Notamacropus eugenii: one gene and its partner. The protein of the gene in region 1 purifies or fractionates together with the protein of each later gene. This does not show direct contact. Links are inferred from orthologs where the notes say so. Each region holds a gene or a part of one and is shown on either strand. Other genes may lie near its edges.

The links.
Region 2: the proteins of EPS15 (region 1) and GJA1 purify together in Homo sapiens (affinity purification with western blotting; 3 studies listed by BioGRID). This does not show direct contact. The link is inferred for Notamacropus eugenii from reciprocal best matches to the Homo sapiens genes EPS15 and GJA1.

Annotation. Positions count from the first base shown.
Region 1 is NC_092873.1:511,774,033-511,782,499, forward strand, and holds the start of EPS15 (epidermal growth factor receptor substrate 15), read right to left. Parts: upstream 3,474-8,467; 5' UTR 3,378-3,473; coding exon 3,345-3,377; intron 1-3,344. UniProt on the Homo sapiens protein: Involved in cell growth regulation. May be involved in the regulation of mitogenic signals and control of cell proliferation. Involved in the internalization of ligand-inducible receptors of the receptor tyrosine kinase (RTK) type, in particular EGFR.
Region 2 is NC_092873.1:203,953,472-203,961,758, reverse strand, and holds the start of GJA1 (gap junction alpha-1 protein), read right to left. Parts: upstream 3,107-8,287; 5' UTR 2,963-3,106; exon of another isoform or gene 2,788-2,962; intron 2,087-2,787; exon of another isoform or gene 1,893-2,086; intron 1-1,892. UniProt on the Homo sapiens protein: Gap junction protein that acts as a regulator of bladder capacity. A gap junction consists of a cluster of closely packed pairs of transmembrane channels, the connexons, through which materials of low MW diffuse from one cell to a neighboring cell.

The DNA of each region.
Region 1 (8,467 bases):
ACAGGCTCAGCCCAGGGTCCTCACCTTCACTGAGTTCTCTCCCATCCCCTCCCCAAGAGGCTTCCCTGATTCCCCAGCTCTCCAAGATATTCCCCACCACTGGGACCAGATAGCTCTGGAGGAGAAAGTGAACTGGTGACTCTGCACAGCCCTCCCTCACTTACATCCAATTCACTAGCCAGTCATAGCATCACCTCCCTGATGTCATGGTCCTCTCCGAGAATGAAGGACAAGCAACAACAACCCCCCCAGGGCTGACTCTGGATCCCTGGAGACAGAGGGCTCTTCCCCACCCCCACCCCTATGGGTGGCAGGTAGTGGCTGTTCCACACTGGGCCTTGGCACATTTCTACAGGCTTACATGTTAATCATGTTAATCATGGCTCAGAAATGACCAGAAGGAAACAAATCATCTAGGATGGCAGTGGACTCCCCAAACCACTTGATGGGTTTGACAATGCAGACATTATTACTATTCCCATTTTCCAGATGAAGAGACTAAAGTTTAGAGAAGACAAATGTCTTGTCAGTATAGGAACCCATGGCTGATAAGGGCTAGACTTGGAATTTCCCGACTTCAGGGCTCTTCCAAGATGTCTAGATTGGCAAGATCTTGGGTCAGAACCAAATCACTGAATGGCAGAGCTGACAGGGAGAGGCTCTCTAGCCTTAACCCCTTCATTACACCACCAAGGTGTCTGAAACTAGCTCAGCTCCAGACAGACTGAGGACGAGAATGCTGGGACCCCAGAGCTGTCTAGGGCTCCAGCTCCACCCTACCATGCTGTCTAGTCATCCATCAGTCTCTCCTGTTTCCCCTCCTGGGGCTAGAACAGAAGCAAGGCAGACTGCCAGAGGAAGAACCCTCAAACTGAATCCTTCTTCGTAAAGAAATGTCTACCAAGGCAGAAAGTTAGAAGCCAGAAGACCCTCTTCAAAAACCTCTTATCTGACGGAGACCTTGTAAAGTAGAGATTGCAGAAATATGTCATGCTTATTATATTCAATGCCACTCTGCAGGACACAGAGAGAGAAAAGATGATGAGGACAACTTCATCCCTACCCTTGAGTTTAAATCAAATTATCTACTGTTCCTGTAGCTCACGGAGCAAAAACCTTTCAACTACCCAGGCATTGTACAGTCACACGATGCTAGAGACAGACCATCCAGGGGCATCTCCATAGTCTATGAACACGAGTTTTGTCTGCTGACTCCTCTCTGGATATCTCAGAATCCAAACAACCTAAAATTAGCTCCTGCTCCAGCTGGAAGATGCAACGAAGTACCTGCTCTCCAAAGTGAAATCAAGCACAACCCAGACCAGTCCAAAAGGCAGCCCTGGGAAGTGATGAAAAGCCCCAAATTTGGAGCGGGTTCAAATCCTGACTGCTACCTCCTAGCCAAGAGTCCATGAACAAATCATCTAACCTCCATAGGCCTCAAAGATGCACTAGAGAACATCCATTAGGTCCCTCCCTGCTCTCCAATCCTACATCCTGAGTTTAATGGCCTCCTCATCTTATAGATGAGGGGAAAAAAATGCCTTACAACCCATGAGGTATTTATGCTAGTCATCCAAAGCATTGGTGTTTCTTAGGGTGAATGTTCCCTCCCTCCACAGTCCCTTCAAGATTTAGTAGATGGCATAAAAAGCTGCTGGAGCCAGTCTTCTAGTGATGAGAGCACCTCCTCCTCTTTAAGTAGACTGAGGGAGGCCTTCCTGCCTTAGTAGGTGGGACCTGCCTGGGTCTTTAGGTACAGAGCGAAGGGGACCTGCTGGGGAGCACCTGCTTCCCAAGTCTATGTCCTTGACAACTTTACTATAGCATATGACTGCCTACAAAACTGCAGAAGATTGAGTGAGTGCGACCGTGTTCATAATGCAGAAGTGGCCAACAAACATGAAAATCATTACCATCTCATCCTGAGCACAACTTTTCAAAATGACCACTGGAAAATAAAACCTTTACCCTGCCAGTAGTATTCTTATTAAATGAACATTTAAAGCACCAAATGCATTTTTAAAAGAAAGAGCTCACGGCTACAGTGGTCCTTCAACTTCAAGAGACATTTATAAACTCAGCCCCTACAATCTGAAAGGCCCCAACAATCCTTCAGGAACTATCCAAACACATCCAACCTGTGACCCTGGTCAAGAGATCGCTGCGGTTCTGCCCCAGTCCAGGGCTCCTTGCAAAAGCCTTTCTTCAGTCTCCTATCAGTTCTGAGAGGGAGACTTGACTGGCTCAGGACAAGGGCATTCCTATCTCCTGACAGGTAGTTACAAATAACACCCCTCACCCACCCGCCCGGCAACTGGGTCTATATATCTCAGGTCCAGCCCTTAGCAGGAACCAACAAGTCCCACAAAAAGTGTGGTCACTTTATCTCCAGCCGAAGGTTGGATGACTCCGGAAAGGGCCAGATCAGAAGTTGAGAAAGACATGACCTGAAGGGAACATCCCTGCCTGCCTTTATGGAAGGATGGGGAGGAATTCCGAGTGGGGGCTCAGGGAGGGCGAGGGCAGCGGCGGGCAGGCTAGCACCTGGCACTTCGGGCTTTCTCTGGGCTGGACACTGAAAGGACGAGACCTGGGGGGTATGGAGCTGATTCTGGGGGCAAGGGAATGGAGGCTGGGTGGGAAGGGCTCAGCCCTGGCACAAGGAAAGCTCTAAAAGCCTCTCCCACTTTCCAGAGGAGTGAACCTGAGGTGGCTCTGACTGCTGGGAGATGGGGGCTCGCAAGTGGGGGAAGGGAGCTGCTGGGGGGCTGGGCTGCGGGGGCAGCCTAGGGGCTCAGTTTCCTCATCTGTCAACTAAGGGGGAGGACGAGACGCGCCCATTAGCTCTGCACGAACCCCATCAAGCGGCATTTATGAAGCGCCTACGGTGTACCTGAGCCTAGCGGGGTGACTCAGGCCCCGCGTTACGCCCAGAAACAGTCTCCAGGACTCCGTACCGTGGGGGGAGTCGCCGGGACGGCCCCCTGCCAGCGCCATGACCTCCCTCTATGACCTTAGGATGAAGGGAGAGCAGCACAGGGGCACCAGGAGGGGCCGCACGCGGGTGCCGCCCCCTGCCTCAGTTTCCCCTCTGCCACGGGATGGGTTTGCTGGCCGCCCAGCGCCCTCGCACCCGAAGTGGGCATCCCTCCCGTCCCGGCCGCGAGCCCCGGCAGCGGCCCGGGACGGTTGGACGCGGCCGAGGGCGCTCGGCTCGGCTCGGGAGCCGGCGGTTGGGCCGAGGGGGTGAAGCGGGCGGCGGGGGCGCGCGCGCGGGCACAGGGCGGGGGCGCGCGGAGAGGGCGGGGGCGGGGGCGCGCCCGGGCAGCCCGCCTCGTTACCTGGGTCAGGGAGAGCTGGGCCGCCGAAGCCATGGTGTTTCCATCATGCACGGCGAGCGGCCGCGGCGAGGACGGAGGCGGGCGCCGACACGCTCGAGACGGCGGAGGGGAAAGAGAAGGAAGCGCAGAAGAAGGCGGCGGCCAGGCCCGGGCGGCTCACCCAACTTCAGCAACTTCCCTCCTGGAGCCACGCCCCGCCCGGCCCGGCCCCGCCCCCGCCCTCACACCCTGCCTCTCCCGCCCTCGCTCCGAAGCGCGCGCGCGTGCACACCCACGCACTCCGCTTCCCCCGCCCCTCCGCCCCGGGCCGCCCCGAAAACCCGGTGCGGATCACCCTCTGTGCCGGCTCCCGCAGACTCCGCCCGGACCGGAGCCGGACTCCGCCCGGACCGGACTACCGCTCGTCCCCTCCCCTTCACTCCCGGCCCGAAGGCTGGCGGAACGGAAAACCCGGTCAGGATGACCTCCCTGGAGCGCTCCTCGAGGTCCCCTTCCAGCCCATCCAACAGCCCCAGGGCCGCCGCTGGCGAGACTCGGGATACTCCAAGTGGGCCGTCCCCCGGGCAGAACTCATGATCTCCCCCGGCCCCCCACTTCCTGAACTACCCCCTGACCTTATCAGGGCAGCCACCTGGGCTCCAAACCTCCTGGCTCCCAGCCAGCCAAACCACGTGGTGGCTCCGCCCCGCCCCTCCGCTCTCACCTGGACGTCACCTGGGCCTCGCGGCCATCTGCCCGCTCCAGTCCGGCTGCCGCACACGAGGCTGCCCAGGCGACGTCCTCGAGGGCGGCTCTCCGGGCGGCCCTGCCCTCCTGCGAGCTCCGCGGGCTCCCTAACCCCCTAGAGCCAGGGACGAGTCCTGTTTGAGGCTGGCACCCTCCCGCGCCCGGCCTTCCCGGGCAAAGCCCCGCCCGACGGCTCCCCTGCCCTCGCACCCCGGCCTGGTGAAGACCCCTCGTGTCACCCCCAGTTCGGGTCAAATGCCCCCCGGCTCCAAGCCCTCCTGGAGCCGGCCCCTGCCCGCCAGCAGCTGCCGGAGCCTTCCCCGCACGTGTGCGGGCTGTCTTCGGGGCAGAAGGCCGGTTCCTCGAGGGCAGGGGCTGTTTCTTCCCTTTTCTCTTCCATTTTTTTAATCTTTGCTCGAGGAGGTTTCTAAGTCACCTTAAGAAATGCGATTTACGGATATTATTTTAAATTGGGCGCACAACCTTTGGCCGAGCAGAGACCCTGCCCGCAGCAGGTGCTTGCTGCATGGCATGGCCTTCCTGGCCATCCGAGCCCATTGCATCATTCAAACTCGGAGCTTCTCACCCCAGAGGCAGCACGGACGGCCGACCCTGAGCCCCTTGCCTGCGCCCTCTGGGTCTTCATCTATAAAATGAAGAAGATGCCTGCCAAGACTCAGAGCCCTGGGCTTGAAGTCAGAAAAGACAAGTAGTAAAACCCCTACATCTTTTTTGAGACAGCTTCCTCATCAGTAAAATGGGCATAATCAATGGCCCTTGTGCTGCAAGGTCATTGGGAGAGAAGCTCTTTGTCAGCCTTAAAGAGCTGTAGAAAGTTGAGTTGTTGCTCTAACTGGAGTCAGTTTAGGGTTAGCGTCAGGAAAAGTTCTAATGTTAAATGATCCGACAATGAGGACTTTCCCAGAATGGGACAGGTGGCCTCAGGAGGCCATGGGTCCCCCCTCCTCGGAGAACTAAGCAGAGCTGACCACTCCCTCATCAGCTGTGTTACACCTGGAATTCCTTTGGTTCATATAGATGCTCTGACACTTAGGAGTTCTGTCTGTGACTGTAGGTTGTTGTGAGGATCACACAAGATAATATTTGTAAAGTACTTAGCCCTGTACCTAGCATATAGTAAGAAAGCACTGTATAAATATTAGTATTTTTATTACCAGTCTCTTAGCCTTAGTTTTGTCATCTGTGAGATGAAGACAGAAAGATCTGGGTTGTATTAGATTTAAAGCTGAAACAGACTTAACCAACAAGCACTGATTAAGCTCCTACTGTGTGCCAGGTATTGGGCATATAATAACAATAAATGAAACAATTCCCATCACTAGGTGATTGTATTCTAACAGGGGAGACACTGAGCCTCAGGAAAATTAAGTGACTCTTGTAAGGTCACATACAGTAAATAATAAGTCCCCAAACCTAGAGTCCAAACCCAGGTCTTCCAAATCTATCTCCATCCCTGTTTCCAAGGTACACACTGCTTCATAAGGTTTTTGTGAATGCCATGTAATCCTTAAAGTGCTGTATAAATGGGAATGGCCCTGATGATTAACCAGTGAAGGGGGCAGAGCCACAAAGTGATCTGCCTACCCTCCTGCCCCCAACTGGTTTGGGATGAGGAACTGAGCATACACACACACACACACACACATATACATGCATCCACACATGAACACTCATCTCTCAGTGAGTGGAGGAGGCTAAGGGAACTCAGATACAGGATTTTCTTTGTATGTCATTCTCAGTTTTCTTTTGTTTTCTAAGGGCTGTAGGCTGCTATCAGCTCAGTCACCAGGGAACACTCCAGTTTTGTGATGTCAGCATCAGCAAACTGAGGAACACTGTATTATGGCTTGAGTCTGAAGGAAGGCTGGTGCCTATAGGGCTTCACTTGGAAGACACTGCTATCTCAGGGCACACAAAGCTCCTGTTTTACTTACAGAAAGGGGTGGGTTAAAGGCCCATCCGAACGGAGCTACGATGCCCCTCCCCCTCTGCCCAACAACAACTGTACTTTCACTTCCATCATGGTGATGTAGAGCACTGGGGAGGATGGTCCCAGTGGTCAGTTTAGTAAATATAGTTTGCCTTGTTCTGGGAAAAGCAATGGGGGATTGGGGTTGAGGGGAGCAAAATAACAATTGTGTTACAGAACAGTAGGGACCCCTTGCTGGGGCCCCACCCTGGGAGAGAGAAACCTGGAGAAAAGATCAGCAGCAGGGTAGAGGCAGAGGAACTGGGTGCCTAGGTCTGCCACTCACTGTGGAGCCTTTCAGGCAGCTCACTTTACCTTCTGGCCTCAGGTGACTCATCTGTAAAATTAGGAGGGTCAATCCTATGGGCTGTTATTAGGCAGAATTTTGGAGTCCAAAAACCTGACTTCACAAGCTCTTCCCATCTTCCAGGTAGTCATGGTGCCAGGGGGAGGGGCGGGGAGACTTGAGGCAAGAGAGAGCTGAGTTCATATCCTACCTTGGACATTTCCAGTTTGATTGATTGTAGGGGAGGACACTCTCTGGGCCTCATTTCCTCATCTCTACAATGCAGGTAATACCTGCTGGACCTGAACACCTATGAAGGAGTCATGGGTGTCAGGGCTTCTTTCCACTAACATTCCCAGAAGGGCAGAAGGAATCTACAGCCTCCACAGGGGACACTCCCTTTCCTGATTCAGTGGGCTCAGCCGAGAAGTATTAGGGACTTGCCTGAAACACAGGCCAAGGGACTGCCCCAGGGTCATAGAGCTAGTGAGTGTCAGAAGGCCGGATTCAGACCTTGCTCTGTTCTGCTTCTATACCCAGTGTCCTTTTCAGTAATAACTGTAGCAGTCTGCTGGATCATCTGGCTGTTCTATCCACCATGCCACAAGTAACCTCTTTGGGATTTGGATCCAGGTCTCTTGATTCCAGATACTGACAGATCATAGCTCAGAGGAAGATAATAGGATTTAAAGGTCACCTATTCTAACTCCTCCTCATCTTACAGATGTGGACACTGAGGCCTAAAGAGGTTACATGCCTTGCCTGAGGTCACATGTGGCATATCTGGCATTCAGATCCAGGGACCTAAAGTCAGGACCAGATTTGAAACTACCTCTTCCTGACTCCAGCCCAGGATACACCAAGCTGGCCCTATTCCACTAAAAATATGAACTAACACTTCCATGGTGCTCTACCATTTTGAAAGTATATTCACAATGACTCCATTACTATTATTTCCCCCATTCTACAGATGAGGCCCATGCAGCCACATGGCCAAGGAGACAGATCTCCAGGCCTGGAGTCAGGAAGACTCATCTTCGGGAGTTCAGATCCAACCTCAGACATTTAATACCTGTGTGACCCTGGGCAAGTGCCTTAACCCTGTTTGTCTCAGTTTCCTCTGGAAGGATATGGAGAAGGAAATGGCCAACCACTCCAATAATTTTGCCAAGAAAACCCCCAATGGGGTCACGAAGAGTTGCACAGGACTGAAAATGACTAAACAACAACAGATGCATCTAGAAACTGCTGTCCCAAAAAACAAAATTACTTGTCCTGGATCATGTAAAAACATGGACAAGCACCTATTAGGTGCCTGCTCTGTGCCAGGTACTTAGAGGAGGTCAACGGAAATACAAAGACAAAAGTGGAACAGTCCCTCTGCTCAAGGAACTTTAACTTTCTTTAGGGAGACTGTCGATATAAGAGAGATACAGAATGATGGGAGGGGGCCTTTACATCCCGGGGGGTGGGGGGCGGGAATCATGGCAGGCCTGTTGGTAGAAGTGCCATTGGAGCTGAGCTCTGAGGCAAGCTTGGGTTTCCAAGAGGCAGAGACCAGGGGGCAGCATTCCAGTTAGGGGATAGGCATCCTTAGTACACAGGTGAAGGGCAGGAATTCTGTGTAGGGGGACCACTAGGACAGTTTAGCTGAAATCTGGACTCTAAAGGAATTAAGCCAGAAAGAAAAGGCTAGTGCCACATTATGAATTCCAGGGGAGTTTGTTTTTTATCCTGGATGTAATAGCTCCCAGCATTCCTTGGACAGGGGAGTGACATGGCTAGACTACTTTAGAAAGATCATTTGCAGGGGAATAGCCTAGAAGGGGAGAGCCATTAGGACTCATTAGGAGACTCTCATAATAGTACAGGTGATGAGGCATGAGCTGTGTGAATGAAGAGAAGACAGGTGTGAGGTATTCTGGGGAGGTAAAGTTAACAAGGTTTGGGAATTGCATGACTGGGGAGAGGGGGAAAGGAGCATGCCAAGTCAAGGGTGACTCAGGTGGGGAGCCTGGGTGCCCTGGAGGATGGCAGTGCCCTCTCCAGAAAGAGGGAAGTTCAGAAAAGGGATGGCTTTGAAGAAGAGAAGACAAGTTCTGTTTGGGATAATGAGGAGAT
Region 2 (8,287 bases), about 310 Mb from region 1:
TTATAATCTCTCTCTCTCTCTCTCTCTCCCTCCCTCCCTCCCTCCCTCCCTCCCTCCCTCTCTCTCTCTCTCTCTCTCTCTCTCTCTCTCTCTTTTGTTTTTGTATTCCCAGCACCTAGCACAGTGCCTAATATGCGCCATGACAAGCTTAAAAAGTTGATTGATTAAAGAAAATAATCCTCCCTTCAGGCTAAACTTAGTAATTTCTTCTTAGCTTCTAAGTGTGTCCTATCTGAAAAAAAGTCTTGGAAGGCCCCAGTTCAAATCCTTGTTCAGTCATTCACACTCCCTGTGACTTAGGGCATGTCACTTCATCTTTGCCTCCCTCCCAGTTTTTTCACCTACAAAATGAAACAGTTTGGACTAAGTAAACTCTAAGATCCCTCCTAGGTCTAAGTCTATGATTTTTAATACATTCTAGCTCAATTCATCCTGTGGTCTTTATTGTCTTTTTCAGGGAGTGGTTAAATGAAAGGTGGTTTTGGAGGATAGTGGGAATACTCAATTACATAGGAGTTTTGCCTCAACAATCTCAAGCATTAAGGAAATAACAAATTAGCTCAACTCATATGTTTTATAATGCAATATTTATCTTTTCTATCATTAAAGACTTGGTTCAAAATAAATGCAATCCATTCCCAAACCAGAAGCTTGTGTTTGATACTAAAATTTCTAAGGTACAGATAAATGCCTCCTACTATCACTCTGTACCCTCACTTCCCCAAAACCTGGGGTTGAAACAAAGAAAAATACATATCTGTGTATATAGATACAACAGATGTGGTGGTAGAGAGACAATTGAAGCAAGATAAGGTTGTAAAATTCACCTAGCGCAGGGCTGGGCAAATATGAAATCAGTCAATATTCAATTAAATAACCACAGCTAAGGAGGTAGTACAATCTAATCATCCCAGGATAGGGTTGGACTTGGGTAGAGTACATTTTCTCCTTCTCTCAGTAATACCTCAGTTTCTTCACTTAAAAATTAAGGCAATGTCTCCCACTCAACTCAGTCTCAGAGATGTTCATAGAAGCCCTAAAAATGTTTTAAAGTTGCTTCAAGATAAAAGTTATTAGGCATGTTTTATCACACTACCTAATATGGTCTGACTTTGAAAGCTATAAGGGTATCTCTGTGTCCTGCATGTTTGAGAGAATAAAGGGCTCTACTTATGCCTATCAGGACAGAGAGTGACAAGATCAAATCTATTCTTCTCTACCAGTATTTCAATCTTTGTTCTTTGCATACCAACCACCACCCATTTTTTATGAGTAGACCTGGGTCAGCAGGCGCACTTTAACTCTGGAAGACTCGGAGGGCAACAACTTGGTAAACATTTCAAAATCCAGATCATCAGGAGTTCTGTAGTATGTTAAGCAGTCCAGATGTTAAGATGGCAGAGCTCATGTTACCTCTGATCTGATCTCCACCACACACGAGTCTGAGACACAAGTCACTACTCACAAAGAGTTTTCTTTTTCATTCTCTCTCCAACTCTGTGTTTAATGTTCCCTTTTCAAACATGGAAGCTGCCTAGAGAAAATGCTTTTTTTTTCAACCTTTTTACTACATATAGCAGAACCTACTTTAAGGAGTTAAAGTAATTGCTTTAGATTGGGGATTAAAGCAAATCAGGGGAAAATCCACAGAGCACAGACGTGCATTTTTGCATTTCTGAATAGCAGAACATGTGTTATCTCAATAAAAGAAAATATTTCTAACTGAACCCCCTTTGACAACATTGGCTGAATCTTTGATTACTGGCAAGAACTCAGGCAACAGTAACAAAGGGGAAACCCCTCTAGAGTCCTGGAATCTGCTTCAGGTTTAAGAAAAGGCATCTTTGTAAGATGCTGGTTAAGAATCACACTTTTCCTATTCTTTTCCCTAGCTCTGGAGACAACTTATGGATATTACTGATTGGCACAAGGAGATGGTCCTTCCAGTTGTTGAGATAATCAGTAAAACACCCACCAGCCACTGAAAATACCTCAGTTCCCACAAATTGCCAACGTGGTGGGAAGCACAGGAGGCTTTCTCTTCAAACCTTCCCTCAACAGGAGAGTTCTAGTAGGAGTTGGAAACACAGAGTAAACTTATTCAGTTACTTTTTTTTCTTTTAATTTCCACATTTCATGTATCCGTCTGGGGTCTTTCCATCCGGTTTTTAGAAAAGCAGATAATTTCAGGGAGAGACCACGTGCAAGTCACCGGATCAGGGTTAGCAATATCTTAACAATGCGCCTAATTAAGAAGTTAACTCGGTACAGGCTATTATAAAGCAATCAAGATTTCCATATTAAAGTACACCGTGAAGAAAACAGATAGAAAGCAGGCAAGGCAAAGCTCTAATTTTGAAGATGCTGTCAGTGCGCACCCTCCCTCCCACATTTCCCTCCAACTGCAACACACCTAAATTATTTTAAGAATCAAAGTAAAATTACACTTTATAGAACGGCACTGTGTTATTACGTATATGTATACATATATGTATATTCTAGAAACCCCCCCAAAATCAGTTTCGACTTTCCAGCTTCCAAGCAGAGGGTTCTGGACATTTTACCTGTTGCAGCATTAACTGACAAAACTTTTTAAACTCTCAAAAGAAAGCTAGGATATTCGAAAGTCTTAATTTAAAAAACAAAACAAAACAAAGTCCATTCCATTCACCATATTATTTGCAGTTCTTTACTTAAATACGAAATTTTCAAGCACTTACAAACTTTAGAAAAGTTTTACTTAAAGAGAAAGAAGATAATAGGTAAAGTTTTTTCTTTAGAACTTACTCTTTTGCTTAAAAGGAGTGATGGAGCCCGAGCAAATGATTGAACTCTTTGGAGGCTGAAATAAAATGGAAAAGCCAGTTCAGGCACTCAGACCTGTCTATTTAAAGTTTAAAAGTCTGCTGCCGTTTTGTCCTTTCCTCCCTCCTTCCCTCTAATGAAAGAAAAGTGCTGATACCTCGTAAAAGCCTTTTTGTAACTTGGAGCACAGAGAGCTTTTTAAAAGTTTTCAAGCCACTGACTAAACTTCAAGGAGGGGTTAGCATCAGAAAGGGGACGGGCGAAAGGGGAGGAGCGGCCAAAGAGGAGCCTGGAACAGCAAACTGTGGGAGGAGAGGGGGGCGGAGAGGCGAGGGTAAAGCGAACGGGTAAGAAACAGAGGAACTTGAAAAGGGTCCCGCCACTAAAAGTGGGAGCAAAAGAAAAGTACGGTTAGACTCGTTCCTCTGAACTATGAGTCTCAGCATCGTCGTTGATGGGTGTCCCTTTTAACCAGAAGCTCTAGAAAGTAAGACAATAGCTACTATATTAAAAAAAATAAAAAATACAGCCTTTTCCTAGAACACAGGCGATTGATTGTGAAATATGTCGACAGATTAAATAGACAGGTAGGTAGGTAGATACGCAACGATTAATAGATGCCAAATTTTTTTAATGGAGACAGAATTCCTTAGACTAAGTAATGGGAAAGCTAAAGGTGACGAGAGTAACTTCTTTTTATTCAACACTTTTCTTCTCTTGGATAGTGACAAATAACAGGCAAGTGGGGGACACCCTGAAGTTTCCAAAATAAACACATCTGTCTTAACTTTTCCCCCCCTCTGCCCATCCTGGATTTTTGCCATTTCCTTCAGAAGCTAACCAAAAAGCCAAGGTGTGTTTATTTAGTTAGCTTTTCGAAATTCAGCTGACTGTGAAATCCTTATCTGCTCAAGTTTCTATGAGGGAGCTGTAGTTACTATAATATAATCTCAGAACCCTTTAATGAAACAATGCCCAGATTAATGCAAGATATTTAATGAAACAGCGTTTAGCAAGAAAAAATATTAGGTTATTTTACTGAATACAGGCTTGTAGTGCTAATGTTGCCAGTTGGGTTAAGGTCAAGTTAGCTTTGGCTCTCATCCATACCCATTAGACCCTCCTTGAGACCAACTCCCTCTCTAAAAATCACAGAAGAACCTTTTGCCCAATGACTGTTGAGCGTTGCACATAATTTTCATGAGTCGCTTTAGTGTTTTCATGGCACTAACTATTCAAGACTCTGCATCAGTCTTTATAATTACCTGAGTCATACAGAGTTATTTTGTTGGATGCTCTCACTCCTGGTGTGAGCAGTTCCCTTTGTGGGCTTCTCAGCTGCCCCAGCAGGGCTCTGTGGTTGGACAGCTCCCCACAAATATGTTTGCACCATGCTACCTGGATAGGATAGGTGGGAGATAGTGCTCACGACACTCCTTGGGCCCATTTTCTCTTAGCAAGGTGAGCTCATCTAGTGCTATAGACTTTCATCTTCATTTTTGAAGTCTCCCACCAGAAAGAAATGAGACAAATATTTTGAAAGAAGTAACCTTTCTCCAAAGATGCGAATGACTTTACTTTCACTGAATAGACTCATAAATATCTTGTGGAACTTATGAAGCCTTTTCTGTTAAGACATTAGTTTATCCTCATTCTAATTGTGCTCTTCTTAAGGAGTCATACAACACTATGAAAGACAACACATTTGAGTGAGTAAAAGAACATTTTATGGTCTGCAAACACAAATTGGTTTGAAGGTAACCCAGCTACATTTAGTCAAACTGGTTAAACAATTGATCACTCTTCAGATTAACCAGTTGTTTAAATTTAAAAAGGTTCTCCATTGTTGTTGTTTTAAAACTAGTTTAAATACCACCTAACTATTCAGTTCTTCATGGAGCTCTGTCCTAGTTAAACTTTCAAAGTACAACTCCCATAATGACTAACTATATACAGTCTTTGTATCAAATCCAGTGTAACTCTTCAGGTCCTAAACATTTCAACTCCTTTACCATTAGATACAATCTGCTATATTTATCCTAATATAGCCCATCCCTTTTCCCTTGCTTCATTGAAAGTCATAATTAAACTTGTTTTCCCTGTAACTAAGAAGGAAAGCTATTATATGCATGAAACTGTAGTACAGCTTTCAATGATCGATCCTTAGAAATTCATAAACATTATTATTGTCGTTTATTTTACATTTATCTAGCCATTTTTTAAGGAAATGTTTTACTCATTTTTAGGAACAAAAGGCAAAACTGTGGGAAGATAACTGTCCCAGGATTCAAAAGACTTTAATATGGAAATGATTCATTATAAGAAGTGCCTCACTATTTCTTTTTTAACAGTTGGATTTTTCTTTATCCAGTTTGGTTAATAATCAGATTTTCTGCATTCCATTAGATAGAATTATTATGAGAATTCACCATCTCATAGATTCCAAAGTTGCATTTCAAATTAGTTGTGGCAAAGGAGATATTGTGACTAACTAGTCAGTAGCAATACCATGAAAACAAGATTGTCATCATTACAAATAGATGGATCTATATTTAAGGATCTAGTCCACTTATAAATAACTTGATACATTTTTGACCTGTTATCTTTATGAACAAAGAGAAATAGAACTCAAGTCAAACTGATGTGGATTCTTAATGAGAATTTCATAAGCTGGTGGTCTAAGTCAAAGACTAGACCCCAATTCATGGGATTCAATGAGAGAGATAGAAAGTTGAACCTGGAGTCAGGAAGACCTGAGCTCAGCTCTATGCTGCCTTTGACACTAGTTGTGTGACTATGTGCAAGTCTCTTAACTTCTTTGATCCTTAGTTTCCTTATATATAAAATGAGGGAGTAAGAACTTCCAAAACACCTATAAGTTCTAAATATAGGATCCTAAATTAGTCTGCATTATTAAATCTACCTGATTTCCTTTCTTTGCTCTGAAATGGTTTGCCAACAATCTCTTATGAGATGAGAAGTTTATAGGTATTCCTCTCTGTCCTTACTTAGAATAACTGGATGAAAATTTGTGCACTGTTGCTGATAATACCAAAAATCAGCTCCTTTCCTATAAACTGTCCTATTAGAACAACAATAACTCAACAGAAAAGATCTATCCAAGTTGAAATTATAAAATTTGGATTGTTCTCCTCTACTGATATTTTGTTTCTCTAAATTGTACCTACATAATGTAATTATTTTAAAATTTTTATAATTGATTCCATTTTTAAGAATTATTCTACTACAATTTGGATTTCTTTTCATTTGGAAAGAATTATTCTACTACAATTTGGATATTTTTTCAGTTGGAAAGATTTATGGAAACATTTAGATTAAGATTTGAACAGTTAATCCAAAATATATGTCCCTGCTTTTTTGGACTCACATGTTCTCTTAAATGACTTTTGCCCAATTGTCAAGTGACGCAATGATTCTTCAATAACAAGGTAGAATACGGGCATGAATTAAACAGGACAGATTTTTTTTTTAGTACATCCTGAATCATTCTTCAATAACAAGGTAGAATATGGGCATGAATTAAACAGAACAGATTTTTTTTTAGTACATCCTGAAAATATGAATTGAAAAGTAGAATGCTTCAATGAAGCTTGGAAAAACAAAAAGTTCATTAAATGACATAGGTTACTCTCAGAATTAACTCATGTTGTTTAATTAACAATAGTTGTTGTAGTATATTGAATGATTTCTTGCTGGTTAAATAGTGTTAACCCAGATAAGTGATCTGGAGATTAGATTAGTTGGGCAGAAGAAATGAACAGTGCCGTTATTTAGGGAAATAGCTAAGCAAACTGTGGTATGTGAATGCAATTGAATATTACTGCACCTTAATAAATGAATATGAAGAGTTCGAAGAAACCTGAAAAAAAAACCTTAAATAAACTGATACAGAGTAAAGTAGGCAGAACATATATGTGTACATATATGTGTATATGACAATATAACAATGTAAATGGAAAGAACACAATTAGCTCAAGTAAATCTTAATACTATGTAATTTTAACAACCAAGTTTGGACAGGAGAAAAGAAAATGCATCTCGCTCTCCCTCTCTCTTTCAAAATATGCAACATTGAATATGCTACTATCAGATTGGGTTGATACGTTGTTAGTTTTACTGACCTGTTTTTCTTTCTCCCACTAGGACAAGGGATAGACAATTTGTTGTTAGTGTAGGAGGATGGAACACATACAAAAACAAAGCTGATGTATAAACAAAAGCTACCAAATAAATATGTTTTTGAAGGAAAAAGAATTGGACAGGGCCAAAACATTCAGGAGGTTTTTTCCAGAGTTAACCTTCCTCAGAAAGAAGCAAGGAAACAGGAGTCATGAGTTCCTGCCCTAAGTAAGGCAGTCTTTCTGATCTGCTGGGGTCAATCTTTCAGCTTTAAAAAATTCTGTTACTTGGTTTTAATACTTAGCTTGAAAAATATACAGCAAATTACTGTAGAAGAGCAAATTACAGTTTCAGAATGAAATATACCAATACACATTGTTGTGAGAAGTAGTGTCTTAGCTTGGGGACTGGTTCCACTGATTTTCCCTCTTTGGTTTATACCATATTGATAAGCTAATCTTCACTGATAGAGTCAGATTTCTGCATTGCCTTATTTTTAAATCCAATGCAGACAAATAATATGAAAAGAGTGGGGGAAAATAAGCCAGAAGATCAAATAATGGTACTTCGGTACAGTGATGTCTCCTCTAACATTAAAATACACTCCAAGCAAATTTTCCAAGCTCAATTTAGTGGAAAGAATACAAGTCTGGCAAAGCCAGCTTGAAAAGTAATGACACAATTTAATCTGAGAAAGTCCCCTGTAACCAAAGGTGAGGTGGATGTTAGCTACCCCTACTTCATTCTCCAATTAAAGGCATTCCCATCACTTCCCATCTGCTGCAACTCTTTTCAACAGTTATGAACCTGGGAGATGAACCTGGGAGTCTCATCTACATATTCGTAACTTTTGTTTTTGCATCATTTTAATTTTGCTGTATCCCTATCTTCTCTCCTACCCATATAGCCCCTTTGTAATGAAGAATAAAAAAATGAAAAATGGAGAGTAAGAGAAAGTTTACTAAAACTAACCAAAAAATCAAGCAAGTCTGACAGCATATATACAATGTTTCATACCCATAATCCTCAGCCTATGAAAAGAGAGGAGAGAAGTGTATTTTCTTATCTTTTCATTTCTTGCTCATTTGTGTATTTAATGTACTTTACATACCCTCAACCTAGAGGAGGTACCTAAAATTTGATTTTATATGTATAAAATTTCTGTTTCTTTACTTCAGCAACCTTAGTTTTCTAGCTCCACCCCACTGCAGGCCCCCTGCCCATCACCTACAATGTCCAAGTAATTTTTACTACCTTCCACCTAAATAAAACCAGGGAGAAACACAGACTAGACTTTTGAAAAAGGTTCAATAAGGAAAGTAAAATCTTCTGTAGATAAATT